Cricetulus griseus: one gene and its partners. The protein of the gene in region 4 interacts with the protein of the main gene of each other region in a pairwise test. Links are inferred from orthologs where the notes say so. Each region holds a gene or a part of one and is shown on either strand. Other genes may lie near its edges. The genes, in order: Ca8, Nek6, Mpg and Hsd17b14.

The links.
Region 1: the proteins of Hsd17b14 (region 4) and Ca8 interact in binary tests that used the Homo sapiens proteins (3 or more experiments, as listed by UniProt). The two-hybrid records come from large-scale screens. The link is inferred for Cricetulus griseus from reciprocal best matches to the Homo sapiens genes HSD17B14 and CA8.
Region 2: the proteins of Hsd17b14 (region 4) and Nek6 interact in binary tests that used the Homo sapiens proteins (3 or more experiments, as listed by UniProt). The two-hybrid records come from large-scale screens. The link is inferred for Cricetulus griseus from reciprocal best matches to the Homo sapiens genes HSD17B14 and NEK6.
Region 3: the proteins of Hsd17b14 (region 4) and Mpg interact in binary tests that used the Homo sapiens proteins (3 or more experiments, as listed by UniProt). The two-hybrid records come from large-scale screens. The link is inferred for Cricetulus griseus from reciprocal best matches to the Homo sapiens genes HSD17B14 and MPG.

What each region holds. Positions count from the first base shown.
Region 1 is NC_048595.1:152,452,556-152,458,016, forward strand, and holds the start of Ca8 (carbonic anhydrase-related protein), read left to right. Parts: upstream 1-2,011; coding exon 2,012-2,111; intron 2,112-2,860; coding exon 2,861-3,052; intron 3,053-5,461. UniProt on the Homo sapiens protein: Does not have a carbonic anhydrase catalytic activity.
Region 2 is NC_048599.1:149,829,062-149,833,899, reverse strand, and holds part of Nek6 (serine/threonine-protein kinase Nek6), read right to left. Parts: intron 4,417-4,838; coding exon 4,354-4,416; intron 1,983-4,353; coding exon 1,872-1,982; intron 1-1,871. UniProt on the Homo sapiens protein: Protein kinase which plays an important role in mitotic cell cycle progression. Required for chromosome segregation at metaphase-anaphase transition, robust mitotic spindle formation and cytokinesis.
Region 3 is NC_048600.1:46,004,178-46,009,769, reverse strand, and holds the start of Mpg (DNA-3-methyladenine glycosylase), read left to right. Parts: upstream 1-2,407; 5' UTR 2,408-2,464; coding exon 2,465-2,650; intron 2,651-3,739; coding exon 3,740-3,937; intron 3,938-5,592. UniProt on the Homo sapiens protein: Hydrolysis of the deoxyribose N-glycosidic bond to excise 3-methyladenine, and 7-methylguanine from the damaged DNA polymer formed by alkylation lesions.
Region 4 is NC_048599.1:154,463,957-154,469,511, forward strand, and holds the start of Hsd17b14 (17-beta-hydroxysteroid dehydrogenase 14), read left to right. Parts: upstream 1-1,967; coding exon 1,968-2,055; intron 2,056-2,881; coding exon 2,882-2,920; intron 2,921-3,075; coding exon 3,076-3,158; intron 3,159-4,012; coding exon 4,013-4,079; intron 4,080-5,555. UniProt on the Homo sapiens protein: Catalyzes the NAD(+)-dependent oxidation of L-fucose, yielding L-fucono-1,5-lactone, which rapidly converts spontaneously to L-fucone-1,4-lactone. Can also act on D-arabinose and L-galactose, with lower catalytic efficiency. Does not use NADPH.

The DNA of each region.
Region 1 (5,461 bases), on a different chromosome or scaffold from region 4:
TGAAAATCCGGAAAGAACAAATATGGGCCAAACAAGTGCCTGTCTCATAAGCAGCCCCATTTTTTGAATAGCAGTACCTATTAGCTGCAAACTTTAATATTAACAACACAAACTTTCAGCCTATCTCTTGTAAATATGCACACTATTTACTTATGACAAACTTACCTGCCAAGGAGAGTCGGCTGTCATTTGATTTTGTACTTTAAATGTAATTAGTGGTCACACAATGGGCCACAATGTCACATCTATGCCCATTTGGGAGGCACAGGGGAATATCAATGATGAGTTTGGAATGGACCAGGGATTTTGTTATAGACATCCTATATAGTCTTTGTGTGGACTTCATAAGCTATGGCATTTCATTAATGTGAAAGTATATACAAGAAACTCTAAACAAATCCAGTCTTGTGAAAAGATTTGAAAGTAAAGTGAAAAAGAAATGCAAAATTCCTTTTAGATGAACAACAGTAGAAAATGGTGGATGCTTTTTGTCAGTGCTTATGGGTGAGTGGGCTCTGGGGCTTATTAAGTAGCAGATAAAATGCCACTAAATATGTGGAAAGGCTGAGAATTCAGGGTGAATTTAGTGTCTGATTATTTTTTTCTTCTGGATGGGGAAGTCAGTTTGCAGCCTCTGTAATAGAGAAAAGAAATGGCATATGCTTGAAATCCATAGGTTTTGTTGGTGCTGAAGTTGGTCAACAATTTTCACTTTTCAGAAAGTGTCAAGTAGGCCAACTCCTGATTTTTTTTCTCCTTAGCCTCCATCCACTTTCTGAAGACGTATCTAACAGATGGTGATGTGATTTTTAAAGTTAAGGTTCCAGCAGGCAGTGAAGGATAGGAATCCAGCATCTCAAAGTCCCCCAATTAATCATCTCCATCCTGTTTGAGGAACTAGCATGCATAAAGATGTAACGATCTAGGAACCACAGTCCATTAATCTGCTCACAGACATTTTGGAGTGTGCACAGGATATATAAAAGGTAAATTGTACGCCAGGCCTGCAGCCGAGCTTATCATACAAATATATCTCCTAAAATGTGGAGAACAGAAGCTTAGGGGTTACTGAACAGGGCTGGAACACAGAGATGAAGCATTAGCCTGGGGTTGGGAAACATGTTCCAGAGGTAACGACTTGACCTCTTTGGATCAGGGAAAGTTCCTGTTTGTTTCGTAATGTGTGCATTTCATTATTTGCACGATTTCACGAGTTGCTTGGGAGCAGTGTACGCAGTAAGGTGAGTCTGAAGCAGCACCCCGGACTTAGAAAGTGGAATCAAACACCCTGTTTCCTTGTCTTTGAAATACATTTAGTAAAGACCTCCCAAAGTATACCTACTTCTTGATGCTAAATTCGTCCTTTTCTTTTCCTGAAATGTTTGTAGGAGTTTCTTGAGGGAAAAAATGCTATGCACATTTTCACTGTGCTCTAAGGACGAATTAAAAAGTAAAACCAGCTCACAGGACAGCGACCCAGGCTGTGGTGGTGCATTCTTGCAACCCCAGTGTTTACGAAGTTCAAGGTCATTCCTTTCTCCACAGGGAGGAGTTTGAAGCCAGCCTGGTCTCCTTGAGACCCTGTCTTACAAAATCAAGCCCCAACAAAACTAACGGGTAAATGATGGGGAATAAACCCTTTGACCACAGTCTTATTGAGTTCTCGGTCTTCAATGCCCTTCCCATGCCAAGGCCACCCATCCGCTCATTTCAGGACATTGCCTGGAGCAAGGTGAGGCGCCCGGGCCAGGCGGGTCCTGGGGTCGCGCTTGGGCGCAGCAGGCTTCCTGGGGTGCAGCCACCCCAGCTCGGCTTTCTGCTGGCGGCTCTGTTGGGGGGGGGAGGAGGGAGGGTGTTAGTAGGGGGCGGGTCTTCAGGCCAGACACGCCCCCACCGGCCTTAAAACGCGCCAGCCTGAGTCCAAGCCGCCGCTGCTCGCGCTCGCGGGGACTGCCACGCTCCGCGCGGCCCCCAGCCCCGCGCCTGCCGCACCCGTGCCGCACAGCTGCCCATGGCTGACCTGAGCTTCATCGAGGATGCAGTTGCCTTCCCCGAGAAGGAGGAAGACGAGGAGGAGGAGGAGGAGGGCGTGGAGTGGGGCTACGAGGAAGGTAGGTTCCTGGGGCTGCTGTCGCTGCTTCTCTGCCCGGCGCGGTCCGGCGCCTTCCTCTCCGAGGCTGCCCGTCCGCAGTTCGCACCTGCTGCTCTCAGGCAGCCCAGCCCGGAGCAAACCTAGTTGCTTCCTAGTCTTGAGAAGTACAACCAAATGCGCCAAATGCGTCCCGAATTCAAGCTGGGTCAGTGTTCTTGGAGACTTTAAAAGGAGTTTCCTAAATCTGTCCCGGAAGCCCAGGACTCCTAATAGACATTAGTGCCCATGTTTACTGTATACAGAGGGAAAAAAGCGCAAAGGAGTCCATAAACATGTGCATGGGATACTGTATTTGCTTTTTAAACAAGTGTTGCTACTCAGCACCACAGGGTTTCTGCTGTCTCTGAGCATGTTGAACATTGCAGATATTTTCTAAGTATTGCATGTAATTGAACTGATGAGCAGAGGAAATTCTTGTGGCGTTTTTTCTGATCACTTAAAAATGACTTACGTTTCCCAAATCCCTAAAATCAAGGCATCTGTGTGCACAGATATAAACACACAGTAAAGAATTTCGTGTGTGGTATTATAAATATAAACAGATCACTCACATAATGAATGTAAAAACCCATACACATTTCTCATATTTCATTTATATATAGATGGTAGTCATAGCTATAATATCAAGGATTATGAGTTTTTATGTTATATTTTATTGTTGCTAACTTAAACAAAACCTATTCTCAATTTTTGTTATTTTCTCCTCAGGTGTTGAGTGGGGCTTGGTGTTTCCCGATGCCAACGGGGAGTACCAGTCTCCTATCAACCTAAATTCCAGAGAAGCTAGGTACGATCCGTCGCTGCTGGATGTCCGTCTGTCTCCGAATTACGTGGTCTGCAGGGACTGTGAAGTCACCAACGATGGACACACCATTCAAGTTATCCTAAAGTCAAAATCAGGTATTTTGGAAAGTGTGTTTCTGCGCTTTTGTGAGCAAGTGGACAATCTCTGATTTAACTTACAGGGTCTTAAAGGGGGCACCGATGCAATTTCTATCTTCATAGTTCTTTACAAGATGCATTTTCTGGGAATTATATTCTGAAATAGCTGTGAAGGGCTAAGAGGGTGAAGTGATGGCTGTCTCAGCTGGCTGTTCTCCCAAAGCTGTGCCTGGAGCCGCCTCTGTTGCTTGAACAAACATTTACCGAACTGTGGGGAAAGCAGTACATACACAGGCATGTTTATTTGAGTTTTTTTTTTTTCTGTGCATCTTGTTCAAAATTATTGATTAGCTGAAATCATTTAATTATAATTCTTCGTTTTTCTGGTTTGTGAAACCAAAGATCAGAATTTATTGATGTTGTTCATGTTCAAGATAAACTTTTCAAATTAAATTTCCCTTCTCTATTAATGTCAAGAATGATTTTAATAACAGTTCAACCCAGCCAGATATTTAAATGGAAACCTAGCTGGATATTTAAATGGAAGCTTAGCCAGATATTTAAATGGAAACCTAGCTCTTGGTTTTGTTTAGTTTTACACACCCTTCTTCGTGAACCTAGTTGAAATGGATCTGAAATGGTTTGTGGAAAAATTAAATTTCCAGGGAAATTGGTTTTCAGCTTAATTGTAGGAGAGATGAAAGCAGATTAAAAAAACAAGCATTAACATTGTGTTTTTCAGGGGGATAATGACCGTTTTCCTCCTGGAAAGAATGGAACATTAGAGTATGTTGGATGTTGATGTGAGCTTTAATAGGCTGTGCTTACGTTAACTTCAGATTGATAGGGTAGGTATTTTAAATCATAAAACCTTTAGGTCTGACATTAGGCAAGGAAGGTACGGATTTCTTCCTTTAACTTATCATGTTTCGGCACTTTATTTGAAATCTGTGAGATAGAACATGTATTCTTTGAGGCTGTTGTAAGTTTAATCAAGGTTGTGATGGCTCCTGAAGCACAGTCTGTGTTTTGTATAGAGTTAGTATATTTCTTCCTAAGTTCCTCCTATGTCTTGGAGATGTTTACCTCTGGCTATGGTATATTTTACATTACCATATACTTGGTATACTCCTTTGTCCTTTTCCTCCTCTGACTTCCACTCCTGAGTGGTAGGAAGAACCACCTGTATTTCTGTCCTGCTCCAGGTTTTGTCCTCCAGTCCTCTGGGACTTTCCTCCCTCACATGCTCTGTTCTCTTTCTGTCACTGCAGTAATTTCTCCTTTTCAATATTTCAGCAAACTTAAAAGTTAATTGGTGGTGTGCATGGTGGCACACACCTTTAATTCCAGCCCTCCAGAAGCAGAGGAAGGTTGATCTCTGTGAGTACAGGCTAGTCTGATCTACATAGTGGACACTTATCTAAAAAAGACAAGTAACTGAAAAAAACAATGTCTTGAGTAGTTTATTACCTTTTTTAGGATATTTCAGCTTCTGTAAACTCTGAACACCATTATTTATTTAAGGAAGTATTTTCTTTATCAAAATGGAATACAGACATAATTTGAATAGTTGGCTATTTCTTTATTTTCTCTACCTCTAGCTACAGCCTATCTCACTCCTCCTACAACTTGTTTTTCTCTAGCAACAACTACTTTGAATCTCTAAGAATTATTTTTTGTTTGCTGAAGTCATAATATAATTTCATCATTTCCCTTTCCTTTCTCCAAACCCTCACATATACCTTTTCTTGCTCTTTTTCAAACTCATGACCACTTTTCATTAATTGCTGTTATATACATATATGTAAATTTATGTACATATATATTCCTAAATATATAAGTACAATCTTCTCAGTCTGTATGTACTTAGATGTTTGTTTTTGGGGCTGAACCTTTTTAAATGGCTTCTCTTTATTTCCTAATAACATGTGTATGTTATTCTGATGTTTAAGAGCTCTCCGGGCTCCCTGCTGTGGAAGGGGAGGCGGTCTTAAAAGCCTCTCCTGTCCTGGTTTTGCCCCACATGCCTAAATTATGCAGTTAGTAAAATTAATACTCAAAACATTATTGCTATGACCTTGCACCTGCCATTTCTGCTCAAGACTATATTCTGTTTCCTTTATAGAACAATGTTTTCTCCTGGAGTTACTGTATTTTTGGGTATTTATTTTTAAAGTTACCTAACAGGAATTCACTTTTAACTCTGACACATGATAGGTCCTGTCTCAGGACATTCAAAGGCACCGAATCGTCCTTCCTTCCCTCCTGTCCTTTTTCCTGCCCCTTGGAGTTGTTCCTCTCTGTCTGGACTGATGCTGAAAAGTTAACACATACCCACTTTTCATTTTTGCTCTCACATTTTTAGTTTCTAAAACTTGGTGCTGATAGTTTGCATTAATTTCCTTTTGAATTTCACTATCAGTGTTT
Region 2 (4,838 bases), about 4.6 Mb from region 4:
TGAGTTCTGAGAGGGGAAGAGACAGTTTATGGAATGTGAAAGAGCACGGCCCTGAGCTTCACAGGCACACAGTTGCTCAGGCTCTCACAGACCTGGCATGAAATCCTCACTATGTGGTAATAAATACACCTGTCCAAAGGCTGGGTTGTGGAGACAATGACCTCTGACCAATTCCAGACCAGGTACACAGTATGAGCTCCCACACAGTATTCTCAGACAAGCCAACCTTTCTGGACCTCAGTTTCCCCTACTATAGAATGTGGTAGCTGGAGCCATAGGACATGTCACTTAAAGACTCTATGGGGCCACTGCACATTTTGAATTAAGAATCTGTGGTTCTGTTCAGCTGGGGCTGAAAAATTGGCTGTGATTAACAAGAGACTGGACCACTAAAGCGAAACCTCTACTTTGCTGGACTAATTGATGCTGGTCAGCTGGAGCTGAGAACTTGGAGATGATAGAGGAGACCAGCATCACTGAGGTGAAATCCCCTGAGACGTTTTTCCTGAGTCAGCACACAGAAGCTGTGTTCAGAGGCGGCCAAAGTTGCACCTTGTGCTGGCAGCTAAACTTGGTAGTGGAAGAATCACTGGGGCAGGCGGGGGGGGGGTGTTGAAGAAATGCTGGGGACATGGAGAGCAGCTGAGACTTGGCACTGTGAGAGCCCAGGAGAGGCTACTGGTGAAAAGTGCCGCCCACCTGCACCAGAAGACTCCACTGTTTGAGATGCCAGTACCATGGGATGACCACCAAGAACAGCAGCAGAGGTGGAGTGGAGCCTCCCTGAACTTGGAAGACAAGCTGTGTGTGCTGCAGAGGACTGAGCTGGACAAGTGACACAAACCCTTTGAAAGAACCCAGAAGAGCGTGAGTGGACACTGCACTATTTACTCAGCTGGAGCTTGGTTTTGCTTTGTTCACATTGTCACTGTGCCCTATTCTTCCCCCCTAAAGTAAGGAAATACTTAACTTATTTTTTATTTTACAGGACCCCACAGCTGAAAGACTTTGAATTTTTAAAACGGACTTGGAATTTTTAAAGAGCCTGAATTTTAATGTTTTTGAATTTGTAGAGGACTGGGGGACTTTTTAAGTTTGTAAAATATTGTGATGTTGATATTAGTGTGTGATCTTGGGGAAAAAACAAGAAAGGGAAGATTGTGGCTCAACAGTGATGTGCTTGTGTGTCAAGCTGATAAGGGGTCGATTGTGCTGAATAGTTTTATGGCAACTTGATACAATCTATAGTCATCTGAGGAGGGAGTCTCATTTAAGAAATGACTCCATAAAATCAGGCTGTAAGCAAGCCTTCAGGGCATTTTCTTAATTAGTGATTGATGGGGGAGGGTCTAGCCATGTGTGGATGGTGCTATCCTCTAGGCAGGTGGTCCTGGGGGCCATAAGGAAGCCAGATGAGTAAGCCAGAGGAACAAGCCAGTAAGCAGCACCCATCCATAGCCTCTGCATCAGCTCCTGCCTCCAGTTCCTGCTCTGAGTTCCTATCCTGGCTTCCTTTGATGGAGAGGTGTAAGCAAAATAAATCCCCTTCCTCTCCAAGTTGCTTTAGTGATGGTGTTTCATCACAGTAATAGTAACTTAAGACAGAAATTGGAGTCTGATCTTTAGAGGTTCCTGTTCCTTCTGAAGAGAAAAGTGTCCTCATGTGCTCTGAGCTAGAGCAGTGTGGTTGGTCCAAAGGGTCCCTTATGTGTACCATAGCCCTTACCCAGTCATCATCCTGTCTAGGCATCAGTCTACCTTGCTTTGTGTGCCCCAAGGAGCCTGACAGCACATAGGAGGTCAGAACCAGGCCAAGGCTGTTGCTGGGACGTGGAGAAGTGCCATTCAGGTTGAGAGAAGGGTGCTCTGACCTTGATCATCTGTGAGAGGTCGCCTGCATCAGCCAACTCCAGAACAATGTTCAGCTCATTGTCTTCAATGAATGAGTCCAGGTACTTGATGATGTTTGGATGGTTCAGTTGCTGTACCAGAAAGGGGGGGGGGGGAGTCACATCAGTGATGAGTGGCATGGCTGCAGTGCCTGCCCTGCACACATTCCCCTAAGACACCTCCAGTGCAGCATCAGGCCAGCTTCTGCCCAGGAGTGTTCACAGAAACATTCCTGCTCTTTTGTTCTTTCTCAATGTCTCAGCCATCCCTTAGAAACTAAGAATCCTTTCTACCCTAAGAACCCTTAACTTACACTCCTAGTGTAGGTTCCTGCCTCTGGTCTCCATGGTGAGGAAGTGAGTGGAGGCCAGGCAGGGTGGTAAAAATCAGCTCTACCTCACAGAGAGGACCCTGGTGGTGACACTATACCTACATGGCTACTGGGTCTAGGGAAGCAAAAGAAGACTCCAACACTGCTACAACGTGGTTGATACTGCTCATCTATCAGTGGACAGCCAGGGTCTGACTGACAGCATGTTTACCGAGGCTCCAGCAGCCTTTGAGCTCAGCTGGACTGGGCCAGAAGGAAAGGCTGCCCTCAAGCCTAATGTGAATTCCTGAGGGCAGGGGTCTGAGTGGATATGGCTTGTGCAAAGGCCCTATGGTAGGTACATCCCAGAGGCTGAACAGAGAACAGAGTGACAAAGCAGGTGGCGCTAGGAGCCTAGAGGAGTGGGCATGGGGTAAGGTGGGGTTACGGACCAGATGCCCTGGAGCTCTGAAAACACTGAACCCGATTAGGCCCTGGGTTATTTACTTATCACTACTGATCTGTCAGCTCATATATGCATAAGACCTTTGTCAATGAAGTGATGAGGTTGCTGATGCTGTCTCCTGGCTGTGACTTGCATTTTCATCTCTGTATGGTAGCCACAGACATAGATGATTCTGGCCTTTTGTGGCTAATGCCCTTGATATTTGGGGACAACTCTGTGTGCTCCAGCTATGATAAGTCGCTGTAGTTTTCTCCTACAAACTTTTGATTATAGCCTTAGCTTGTGTTTTGCTCAGTCCTTGGGGATCTCATTCTGTACATCAGCCCAGAATGGCTTGGTATTCACTATGTAACCCAGGCTGGCCTTTAACTCCAGGTGATTCTTCTGCCTTAGCCTCCTCTGTGTTGCAGGCTATATAATTACAGGTGGATGATACCATACCTGGCTTAGCTTTAACTTTCAAATCTTCTCACAGACTACAGAAATGTTCCTCAATTTAGTTTTTCATTTTATTTTTGACTAATCCATTTCACAAGCATGTATGTGGTGTGACGCAGGGTTTACAGCTTCTTCTTTCTCATCGGCAAGTCCGCTTTCCCAGCACCCTGTTCCAACTCTCCTCTGTCCTACTGAATTGTTTTGAGAATGTTGGGAACTAACACCAGCTTTGGTTGCCATCAGAGAACATTACAATTTCTGTTCATTATTAGTGTGTGTGTGTGTGTGTGTGTGTGTGTGTGTGTGTGTGTGTGTGTGTGTGAGTGAGTGATGTGCATGCCATGCACCTGTGTAGCAATCACAGGATGATGTCAAGTCAGTTCTCCCATCTTTACATGGGCTCTGGGGACTTGCTCAGGTGGCTTGCATGCCAAGTGCTTTACTCACTGAGCTGTCTTTGCTGGCCTCTCCTTATTTTTTGAGACAGGATGTCTTACTGATTACTAGCTTGCTTAATTGGACTGGATTATCTGGCCAGTGAGCCTCAGAAGCCCTAGGGTCTACACCTCAGCACTAGGCTAGAGTGTGCAATACCTACCTTGCTTGGCTTTTTAAAGAAACCAAACAAACAAATGTGGAGGCTGGGGGAGGGGGCTCACACCTTTGATTGCATCACTCCTGACGCAGAGGCAGATGGATTTCTGTGAGTTCAAGGCCGGCCTGGTCTACAGAGTGAGTTCTAGGACAGCCAGGGCTATGTAGAGAAACTCTGTCTTAACAAAAAGCAACAACAAAAAATTGGTTCTAGGGATTGAATTCCTATACTCATGCTTCTGAGGCAATCACTCTACCAACAGAGCTGGGTCCCCAGGCCTGTGTTGTTTTGTTTCCATAGTCCTCTCAAACCTGTCAGGGAGGTCTTCCTGCTATTTACAAGATGGCTAAACAGAGGCTGGTGGAGGTTAAGTCACTTGTGAAAGTTAAGTCACACAGCTTGAAAAGGAAGACAATAGTACTGTAACCCAACACTTTCTTCTTCTTCTAGCCTCCAGCTTGGGGTCCAAGTCCAGTCTGGAAGTTCTATCTGTGGCTCTGGGGAAATCAATATGGGATCACTGGGAAGAAGACAGGGACAACTGCAAACAAACCCGATGCTCCATGTGTGCTGTCCGGATACGCCCAGGTTGTCTGACCCGTAGAAACCTAGAGAGCTGGCCCAATCAAGACTGGCCTGATCCAGGCCACTCACCTTTAGAAGACCAATTTCCTTGACACAGTCCTGCCTTGCTTTGGCATCCATCATCTCAAAGATCTAGGGCAAGAGGAAGCCAGAAATGGAAGTTAAAACCAGTGCCTGTAGACTGGATTCGACCCTCTGCTCAGCCTGCTCATTGTTAAGACCTCAGAAGAAGCACAGTCCCAACTCTCAGCAACAGCCAAGTCAGCCAAGTCAGAGACCATGCTGTCAAGTTCACTTGTGTCCCATAATGCCTACCACACAGAGCAGGGACTGAGGACCACTGAGCCTTGCTGAGGTCACACCCTGACTAGTGGTATGTCACTCCTTCAACAGGGACCCAAAGCCTAAGACTTGTAGGGGCGGACCAAAGGCAGCCATTGGCAGTATGCCAGCACAGTAGCCATTATTCAAAAAGAAGTCAGATGGCCCAGAATAACCTCTGCAAAGAAAAGAGCAGCCGTTTCCCAACTACAGGAGCCAGATGCCCTAGAGGC
Region 3 (5,592 bases), on a different chromosome or scaffold from region 4:
TGTTAGAAAGGAGACTGAGCCAGTGTGTTGAGCCCCTGAGACAATGAAACTGAAGCCTGGCATCATTAGCCTATAGAGCTAGCAAGGACTGGCAGCCCATACATCCCTGCTACAAGCAACTCCAATCTTCCCACCACCTGTAGAGAATCAGAACAGCTCACATCAGTGCTAGCCCCAGCCTTGAGCCCTTTCAAAGAGTCTCCCAATGGCATCTTTGCCACCAACCAGCAGTAAGATACACTGGGAACAGAAGAAGTCTCAGGCACCTTCCTCTTGGACATTCCCTTACTCCTGGCCAGCCTGCTGGCAAAACACAGCAAGGAAACACAAACCCACACTTCCAGCCAGTAGTGGGAGTTTCACACCACAAACCAGGAAGTGGGGAGGAGGGGGCAGACATTGCGCAATGCAATCCCACAGTCAGGCCAGAACATCTGGAGAATAGGATGCTGGCAACCACTCCCATCTCCTCCTCAGGCAGAAGCCAGGCTGGCCACCAAACAGAGGAGCTTCTCATTCACCCAAAGATAGGGACGAGATAGTTCTCTAGGAGTCTTCAAAATGCCCTCTTCTTCTCCCTCCTATCGGGACAAGAACCCAACGGGGGTCTCAGTTTCCCTCCTAGATTCGGAAGGGGCATTATTCCCACAGGAAGGGAGAGTCATTGTTTGGACGGAATGGCTGTAGGGGATAAGGAGGAAGGGGGTGGGAGCCACATCCAGGCCAATCTCATTAGTTCAAATTTACAACATATTGCCCCTACCCCACCCCCGGAAACGGCACAGAGTGCCACAAACAGCTGGATGACTTCCAACAGGCAGCAGGCAGGCAGAGAGGCTGCCCCTCCCTCCCCAGGAAGTCCTGGTTGAGGCCCATGAGAGGGGATGGCTGAGTCCCAGCCTGAGCTGGCCAGAGGAGAGCATTTGGGGACCAGAATCCTGATGCATAGCCTAGCCTTGGGCTAAGTGCCTTGCTCATCTGCTGGTCACAGACACGTGGCCTGTCCCTCTGTCCTGTCTAGCATCTCCCATCCCACACCCAAGTTGCTCTTCCATGCTAGGGTCAAGGAATTCAAACACAGCTCTGACAAACCCTCAAGGGTTTTGGCAAGCAGGGGCAGAGTGTGAATGGGGAAGGTAGGATTGTGTCTGCCAAGAAACCCTTCAGACCCAGATTCCCCCCTCCCCAGATAGTAGAAGAGGGTGAGACAGTGGCTGTGCTGGGTGTGGGGGCTGCCACGGAGCTGATGCAGCAAGTTAGATCATGGAGCACCTTACTCTGTCTCAAAGACCTCCCTTCCCTTGACCATTCCTTCCTCTGGGCCAGTCATTTTCCACTGGAGGCTCAAGTGTCCTCCAGTGGTGCACAGTCTCATTTGAGAGGCAACAGATAGGGTGGGTAGCAGGCCTAGGTCCTGGAGAGGCAATCATTAGAGGTGCCGGGCAACTGTTTGGGGGATTTTTTTAACTTTGTTATTTAAATTAGAAACAATCTTATTTTACATATCAATCCCAGTTCACTCTCCCTTCCATCCTCCCCTGTCCCCCACCGACTCCCCTCCCCCCATCCACTCCCCAGGGAGAGTGAGGCCTTCCATGGGGGAATCATCAAAGTCTGTCACATCATTTGGGGCAGGGCCTAGGCCCTCCCCCGTGTATTTAAGCTGAGAGAGCATCCTTCCACGGGGAAATGGACTCCAAAAGCCCATTCGTGCTCTAGGAATAAATACTGGTTCCACCGCAAGAGGCCCCATAGACTGCCTAGGCCTCCCAACTGTCACCGAAGCTCAGGGGCCCTGGTTTGGTCCTATGCTGGTTCTCCAGCTGTCTGGGCAACTGTTATCCAGTTAGATGGGTATTCCCAGATCCCTGCAGCCTTGGTCCTGCCCTACAAGCTGGCTCAGCTTAAGTGGTGAGCCCTCTTCTCAACAATTCCAGGTGGGGGTGGGGGTGGAGGTGAAGGGTCTACTGCCAAGGCAGGATTCCCTTTCCTTTCTCGTATCAGCTGTGATGACCGAGGAGGCGCCTCCAGGTGGGGCAGACATCCACTTCCGTTCAGTTCCACCTCCCTGCCCCCCATAGGGTTGGGGAAGGAGAGTTCCAGGATCAGAGTTCGGTGTGAGGTTCCCAAGGCCTTGTTTGTTCTCCACAGCACCAACCACACCCGCTGTGACCCAGCCCGTCCCAGAGCAAGGCCTTTGGCCCGGGACCCTCGGAAATTCAGTCCAGGTTCAGGGAGGTGGGACTTGACAGCAGTAGGGACAGCAGGATAGCCCCGGACTAGGAAACGTGGGTTTCAGCCAAAGCGGTGAAAGTAAAGAAGGTTCCCTCACTAGCCTCGCCTCTCCAACTAGGCTCCGCCTCTTCGCTCCACCCCCGAGCTTCGTGCCTTCTGCGCAGGAGCAGGCTCCTGTCCCCTCCCTCCCCGCGCTTCCGGCGGCCCGGCGCATCCTGTCGGCGGCTGGATGCGCGCCCGTGGCCGGGCCGGTGTGTGTGCGCGCCTCGGCAGAGGGTCTCTAAAACCGATGTCTGTGAGCTTGCCTCCTGACACCAACCAGCCTCTATTTCCTGGACGAGCCCGCCGCCCAGGGCGTGCCAGAGCAGGATCCCGAGTGACCGGATGCCGTGAGGCGGGCCAGATGCCAGCGCCGGTGAGACGGGGCGCAGCGTCGCGGAGTCTGAGCCCACGGCGAGCTGGCACAGTGGGTCGGGCTGCAGAGACGGTCACGTCAGCATCCATTCCGGGCAGCCTGACATCCTCGGTCCAACCTGGACGTCAGCACAACAGATAAAAATAATGGGTCTTTATCCGAGCGTGGTGGCGCACGCCTGTATTTCCAGTACTTGGGAAGTGGATGGAAGCAGGAGGATCGGGAGTTCAATGCCAGCATGGTCTACATGGGACCTTGCCTTTAAAAAAAAAAAAGTAATCGCTCATTAACCAGCCACGGAGCCGTGGTTATAGCTGAAGCCCAGTTTGGGCTGAAAACAGGTCTTGGCCCTGGCCCCAGGTTCACTGCCCAGTTGTCCCTTTCATCCCCCTTCTGTTGTACCACAATAGTTGAAGGATGTAGTGAGATTTCCCTACTTTGTTTACCCGGCTTTTGATAGACTAAGGCCTGCTGTGTCTTACTGACCCATAGACTTTTTGTCCCAGTTCCTAGTTATTCTCATACCCAAGCAGTCAGGTCAGTTGGGGGCCCTAAGCACTTAGAATGGGACCAGGGAGGTGGTCGTCCCCTTGTGCACCCACTTATGTGTCAGGTCTTCTGTTCAACACTGAGAGGGCCTGGTGACCTATACTTTTGAGCAATGACAGGACAAATTCAGTCTGTTTCTCTGCTAGGCCCTGCCCAGGTTCTGACTGTCTTTTAATTCCTGGCCAGGATTAGGAGCAAAGAGCCAGGTTCCAGAAACAAGTTTTCTTGGAGATGGTGTCATATATGGGAAGCAGAAAATACTGGCTCTTATGTATCAGACTCAGGCACCCACCTCTCCTTTTGCCCATGACCCAAGTTTCTCCTATGTACAGCAGGTGTGGGCAGAGAATGCCCACCCACCCTGATACCACTAACAACCTATTATTACCCACACCATGTTCCAAGGTCCCCTGAGGCTGTATTAACTATAGCCTTCTGTTTATGTCTCTGGAATGACCCACACAATGGGCACCCCACTTTGCAGATAAAGATACTCAGGCAAGTGGGAAGACACTTGGTTTTGTTTTTTTCCTACTACAGCTTTCCCAAAAGATCGGACAAAAAAAACTGCAACTAGCAGAATCACAGCAGCAGCAGATCCCTAAAGACAGGCCACCCTCATCCCTGGGCCTACAGCGGAGCATCTACTTCTCCAGTCCAGAGGATCACCCTGCCCGGCTGGGACCAGAGTTTTTTGACCAGCCAGCGGTCACCCTGGCCCGTGCATTTCTGGGACAGGTAATATAAATGCAGGTGCAGGTTCCAGGAGCCCTAGTCCTGTCACTCACTACTTGTTCACATCTCTGATTCGCCTTTGTTGTGCTCACACAGGTAGCCATCTTGTCCACATTGGCCGCGGATAGTTTGGTTATTGTCTAGGATCACTGCAAAGAATAAGAATATTGATAGGGGTGTTCCTTGTGGCGGTAGCAGGGCCACTGGCAATAATGGTATTATGTATTGGCCCCAGCATCTCTAAGGAGCCACTTTTGCCAATGGCTGGGGCCAAGGATACCATTAAGTTGCCAGTGTCTGAATCACTTAAAAGAGCTGGTCTCCACTGCATGGCTCAGTATGGGTCCAGGATCTGGGCTGGGCCAGGCATGCCTGGCGTGGGAAGTGGGGACTACCCCAGACCCAACCTGGTGTGGCCTATAATATATGCACATGATGGAGCTGGCCGTGTTCGTTTACAGCACCCACTATTCCTAGGTGCCAGAGCTGGTTTTAGGAGGTTTCCTGGCCCACCTTTTTCTCCTAACAAGCTTCCCTTTAGGGTAGCATGGCCAAGGACATCCGGTTTCTCTAATGGAAGAACTGGTGCTAAGAGTTCCATGTTAACAGGAACAGACCCTGAACAGAAGGGACTTAATTCTGTTGTCAAGGATGTGTTCTTTCTAAAAGCCCCATAATAATCAACATCTATGATTATGACAAACAACATGGTTTTTTTTTTACGTTAGGTTTAGGTCAAGAGCCCAAGGATGGTCACCACCACCATACATCTGCCTCTGTTCAGCATCCTGGATATGTCAACGGGCTGGGCTCCCTGTCATGCCTGCTTGAGCCCATATTGGTAGACAAGATGATGTCTGGCAGGAAAAGGGGTATTTTTTAGCCTGTGCATTCCTTTGGTCAAGGAAAACCCAGGTGTGGGTCACAAGCTCAGTAAAGATTCACTGTAGTGAGTTGCTGGGACAGCAAACGGCTGTGGACTGAGGATCGTGTTGCCTTCCCAGGCCCTCCACCAGAAAAGTCCTGGGAGCTCCCTCCAGCTCAGCTGGGGTGCCCCAGTGTGCCCCTTGGAGATATGGGAGCATGCAAGTATAGTTAGTGAAGGAACACTCCCTGACCTTTTTCTCCTTCCAAAACATTCATTCCTGTCTTCAGTGTTTTGGGTTCTAGAAAGGATTTCCAGGCTTCCAAGACAAGCACTGACCCCTTCTTTTCCTCCACTCTGCCTGTTACATTGACCCTGAGGCACCATGGGTCAACCTGGACTGAGATGAAGGTGCCTTCTGACCAAATAACCCCTCAAACCTAAGGATGTGAGGTGCTGTTGACATGGCTGGATGCTGAAATCCTTCCATGAGCCCTAGTTAAGACAGCTGGCCATTCTTAGGATCATGGACCAGGCTAGGCACTACATGAGCTGGCCCCGCTGGTCCTGTTTCTCATTAAGGTCAGCACTAGTAGGCAGTCTCAGTGTAGATCCTTTGTGGCTATCCTAGTTTAACAAGCACATCACAGAATCTGAATATCCCAGGAAATGTGTAGGGACCCCTTGGGGCCACTGAACATTTAAGGCTCTCAAGGGAACGGTGGGAAGAGGATGTGGGAAAGCCAAGAACGCCACTGAGGGGAATTTGAGGTCAACCTGCACAGTGAATACA
Region 4 (5,555 bases):
AGTTGCTGCTCCCACAGCCTTTCTGTTACCTGCCCCAGGACTTACCGGACTTCAAAGAGAGGTTTCTAAAATAGCCTGTCTAATTTCAGAAACTGCTAATATTACAGCAAAAATATCCACAGGGTCAGCAGGAGATAATCAACAAGTGGGAGAACTGAGAACAACCGTTTTTCAGCACAGCGCTACCATAGATTACCTGTCACTCAGACAGTGCTGGCTGTCAGCAGCTTCCTACAATGTGCTGTCTTAAAATCTCCGGCTTCTCTCATACTATTTGAAAGGTTCAGGCATTATGCTGAACCTGGTGGAACAGGCAGTACCCTGTAAGTCTGCACGCAGGTGCAGAGGACCCCTTTAAAAGACAGACCCCTGCCCCTTTACTCTCTCTGTCCCCGTCCCCCTCCCCCGTCCCCCCGTCCCCCCCCCCCCGCTCTGTTTCCTCTCAGCTTCCTTTCTACTCTCTCTCTCACCTATGCGCTCTCTCTATGGCGACAGGCCATGGCGGTCAGCCATTACCCTGTTCTTCTTCTCTTAGTCTCCCCATTCTGCCGGGCCTTATAATAAACTTATAGTCAATATGTCTCATGTCTAAGCATTTCTCTTCTCTTCTTTTTAAACAAAAGAATAACACTATTGACAACCAAACTGGTGACCTAAGTAAAGAAACAGACAGAGTCTCTCAAATAAACTTGGCCTGGCCAATATGGCTAAGATGGTTCTCCCCCTTCACTGGCCCTGTAATATTACTTCTACTTTTTATCTCTTTTTTTTTTTTTTGGCTTTTTGTTTGTTTTTTCGATTTTGGGGTGGAGGGAGGTTTTTGAGACAGGGTTTCTCTGTGCTTTGGAGCCTTTCTTGTCTTGTAGACCAGGCTGGCCTTGAACTCACAGAGATCCACCTACCTCTGCTTCCCGAGTGCTGGGATTAAAGGTGTGCACCACCAACGCCCAACTTCTACTTGTTATACTTGTTATCATAATCTGGCCCTGTGCCCTCCAGTGTGTCACTAACTTGATCACTTGTCAGATAAACAATGTTAGAATCACTGCTGCTTGAGAATATTATTAAGACAACCCCCATCATGGACTTGACAGGGAAACACAAGTCAAGGGGGAACGAGGAACCGGTCTGACTCCATTATGCAGTTTTTTAAAAAAATAAGTTTCTGCAGGGCAAGAAAGCCTGTCTGGAAAATCCAAAAAGAATAAAAAATAAATAAGTTTCTATTTACTGTGAGAGTTGAGCTGCTCTCTGTTTTTTGGAATCTGACCTTGATTTGTTTTTGAGAATACCCTGGCTCTCCTTGACCCCTCCCTGACACCTCCCTAATCACATGATGGGTGACCTCATGACTTTTTAAGTTTTTTTTTTTTTTGTATTTTCTTATTGTCCCATTCTCTCCCTTCTGTAAAACTACTTGTGATTTTACTTCTTAAAAGAGGTCCAAGAGGTGGATTCGGGGCTGCTCTCTTTAACCTGATTTAGCAGGCAGTCACTGGCCAGCTCTTGAGTGAATCCCAATAAAAACAAGGCAGACAAGCTTGCTCCAAATTTGGATCAAATTGTGGTAGTGATTAACAGTATGAGGAAGTTGGGAGCCAGATATATTGTGTCTGGGGAAGGAGGCTGGAGAGCCTGTTTTTCTAGGTCAGAGGAAGAGGTGCTGATCTTATGGGTCTCAGGAACAGGGTTAGAGTCAACGTGATGGGGGCGGGCTGGGGCCAGGACCCTGAGTCTGAAGGAGGAGTGTCAGGGTGGGGACCCCAGCGTTTGAGAAAGAGAAGCTAGGACTCAACCTCCAGGTCTGAGGCAGGTTCGCAGGTGTGTGGCCCTCCCGGGAACACCCCTCCAGGGCCAGCCTACAAGGACCCAGCCTGTCTGGTTCCATCCCACTGCTTTCCTGGACTTTGGAGGTCGAAAGAGGCCGGGAGGGCGAGGGCGTGGGAGACAAGACAAGTCACCTGGGAATGGCAGCTGTAAACCGATACTCCGGGAAAGTGGTGGTGGTGACCGGGGGTGGTCGAGGCATTGGGGCTGGGATCGTCAGAGCCTTCGGTGAGTCAGGGTCTTCCTGCCCGATGTCTGAATGTGGGAAAGGGTGGGGTGGGGTGACAGATTCACGGAGTGGGAGGGAGAGACCTGGTTTCACTCTTTTTAAAATGATTTATTCATTCCTTAGTGATTTGTCTATTCTTATTTTTTTTTCTGTGCATTGTTTTGCGTTTGTGTGAGGGTGTTGGATCGCCTGGAACTGGAGTTACAGTTGTGAGCGTGTGGGTGCTGGGAATTGAACCCGAGTCCTCTGGAAGAGCAGCCAGTGCTCTTCGCCACTTAGCCATCTCTGCGGCCCTCAGTCTCATTCTTACATGAGGCGGTTTGGACTGTTGGGTAAGCTGGTGTAGTGATGGCTTCTGCTGGTGCCGATAAGACTTTTATGAAGAGTTCTTTGCCTGGCCAGGAGGCAGAGGCAGGTGGATCTTTGAGTTGGAGGCCCGCCTGGTCTACACAGAGAGTTCCCGGACAGGCAGGGCTGCACAGAGAAACCCTCTCGAAAAGCCAAAAAGAGTTCTTCCCTTGATGGGTCCCTAGCTACAAACGATAGCTTTGAGGAATGTTAGGTTTGGGATTTTTCTGGAACCTAGGATGGCGGTGGAGCAGAGGAAGGGAAATTCTGCCCTTTGAGAGGCCTGTCCCGAGGCAGTCACGAGAGCTGCCGAGAGCCAGGTGCTCTCCGTGTCACAAGAGGCAGCAGAGGCTCGCCCCGAGTCTGCAGGGTCCATAACTCACTCTCTCTCTCTCTCTCTCTCTCTCTCTCTCTCTCTCTCTCTCTCTCTCTCTCTCTCTCTCTCTCTCTCTCTCTCTCTCCTCTCTCTGTTGGCAGTGGACAGTGGGGCTCAAGTTGTTTTCTGCGACAAGGATGGTAAGTCAGTCCTCAACTATGCCTTCCTTCCGTCATCGCAGGGATCCAAGGCCAGCCCTGCTCCCTCAGACCCCAGACTCAGGAGTCCAAGCTCCTCCCCAGACTCTGATCCAAGCCTCAGCTCCCTCCCTCAGACCCGAGTCTTTCTCTTGCAGAGGTGAGGGGCCGGGCTCTGGAGCAGGAACTCTTGGGCACTGTCTTCGTCCCCTGTGATGTGACTCAGGAAGGAGATTTGCAGGTGGGCGTTCCCAGTGCACTCCCCCTTCTCCGTGCCCTGGGTCAGCTCAGTGAGCACAGTCCATCTGCCCCTTCTCGCTCCATTCTTTAGATCAAGCAGAACTTGAAATCCACACCCTCTGTTGTCATTTCTGATTCCCCTGCGCTCAGAATCAGTTCTGTGTCCCCAGGTCTGTCCCCAGTCTGTGCCCTGTCTCTGTGTCCCTGCCTCTGCCTGTCTGCTCCCCGCCCCCTCTGGATCTATCGTCGCTTCTTCCCGGACTCAGTCTTCTGCCCTCGCATTCATCTTCTATGGCGGTGCTGGTCACTTGACACAAGCTAGAGTCACTTGGGAAGAGGGGACTCAACAGAGAATATGGCCCCACCAAACGGGCTGTGGTGCATTTTCTTAATTAGTAGTTGATGTGGGAGGGCCCAGCCCCCAGCCCCCAGCCCCCTGGGGGTTGTGACATCACATAGCGGCAGAAAGGGGGCTGAACAAGCCACAGGGAGCAAGCCATGAGCAGTGTTCCTCCATGGTCTCTGCTTCAGTTCCTGTGCTGACTCCCCTCAGTGATGGCGTGTAACCTGAGAGTTGTAAGCAGAAATAAACCCTTTCCTCGCCAGATTGCTTTCGCTCCTGGTGTTGGGTCACAGCCATAAACCCTAACTATGACAAATAGCAACGTGGGTGCTTAGGTCTCTGGTCTGGGCCCCCAGCTTCCTGCCTTCTCTCCTCTTTCTAGACCTGCGCTGTGACCCTGAGCCTCTCCTCCCTCCCCCTACCTTGTCTTCCACAACTGAGCCTGTCCTTGCTTTGGCTTTTCCAAGGCTGCCACCTCACTGCTCATCACCTGCTGTTTGTTCTCTCCTCAGGCTCTGATTTCTGAGACCCTCTCTCGATTTGGCCACCTGGATTGTGTGGTGAATAATGCTGGCTACCGTAAGTTGTGTGGCTTGGGGCCTAGTGTCCCCTGATGTCAACTTACAACCTATTCCCTATTCCTTCCCCTTAGAGATGATTACATTTATCTGCACACCGGCATACAGTACTTGTGTGGTGTTCAGAGTACAACTGGAGGGGATTAGCTTTCTCCTTGTACCATGTGGGGTTGCGCTCAGGTTCTCAGGCTTGGTGGCAAGTGCCTTTACATTTGAGGCATCTCAACCCTTCCTCTGAACCTCAGTTTACTCCCTTCTCAGGCCACAGCCTTCGTGGTGTGTGTGTGTGTGTGTGTGTGTGTGTGTGTGTGTGTGCACGTGCACGTGCACGTGCACGTATTTTTATTTGCATGTATGTCTGTTCACCACTTACATATTTGGTGCCCACAGAGGCCAGAAGAAGCAGTTGGATCCCCTGGAACTGGAGTTACAGACAGTTGTGAGCTGCCATGTGGGTGCTGGGAATTGAACCTGGGTCCTCTGGAAGAGCAGCCTGAGCGTGCTCATAACTGCAGTCATCTCTCCATCCTCCCCCATCCTAATACATAGCTCTAGCCTGAGCTTCTTTCCTAGGCTATGTGCTCCCCATCTCCGTGACTCAGTTTCCATCTTTGAAATAAGAATTATCACAGCTGCAGGGTGGTGGTGGCACATGCCTTTAGTCCAGCACTAGGGAGGCAGAGTGGATCTCTCTCTGTCTCTGTGAGTTCGAGACCTTAGCTTCTAAAGGGAATAGGTCCAGAAACAGAGTCTCGGAGAAAAAAAGAAAAAAAAAAAAAAAAAAGAATCACCTTTTTCATTGGGGGTGCTGTAGTCTCTAAAGGAAGTCACACTTTGGGTAGCTCCTACTTTGCTGAAGGCCCAGGATCTTGCTGGTGATAAGGACATCCAGGCACACTTCATCAGACTCTGGGTGGTGTGGCACTCTGGAAGGTTTCCATTAGCCCAACAGGTGCACTTTAAGACAATGTGTCTCCTAGGGGCCTGGAGATGACTCAGAGGTTAAGAACACTGGCTGCTCTTCTGAGTTCAATTCCCAGCAACTGTATGGTGGCTCACAACCATCTGTAATGAGATCCTGTGCCCTCTTCTGGTGTGCAGGCATATATGCAGGCAAAACACCGTATACATAATAAATCTAAAAAAAAATAAAATAAAAAGACAATATGTCCCCATAGAAACTAAGGCTCAGAGAGCACCCAGGCCTTCCAGAGTCCCCTCAAAGATGGAGGTGCAGAGGATTGTCCCCTGGCCAGGGAGGCTCTCCTTGTCTTAGCCTCTTTTTTCTTCATTCACATCTTGGTAGGGATTCAGACTTGCAGGGACCTCATTGTCATCTGTGTCCTTCTTTTTTTAGGCTGATGTTTATTCAACACAGGCCACGTAACCAAACACTGTTGTGGGGAGTGCAGGGAAATTGATACTCCATATCGAGGAGAGGAGATATGAGTGATTTGGTCCTGGGATGGCAGGTGTA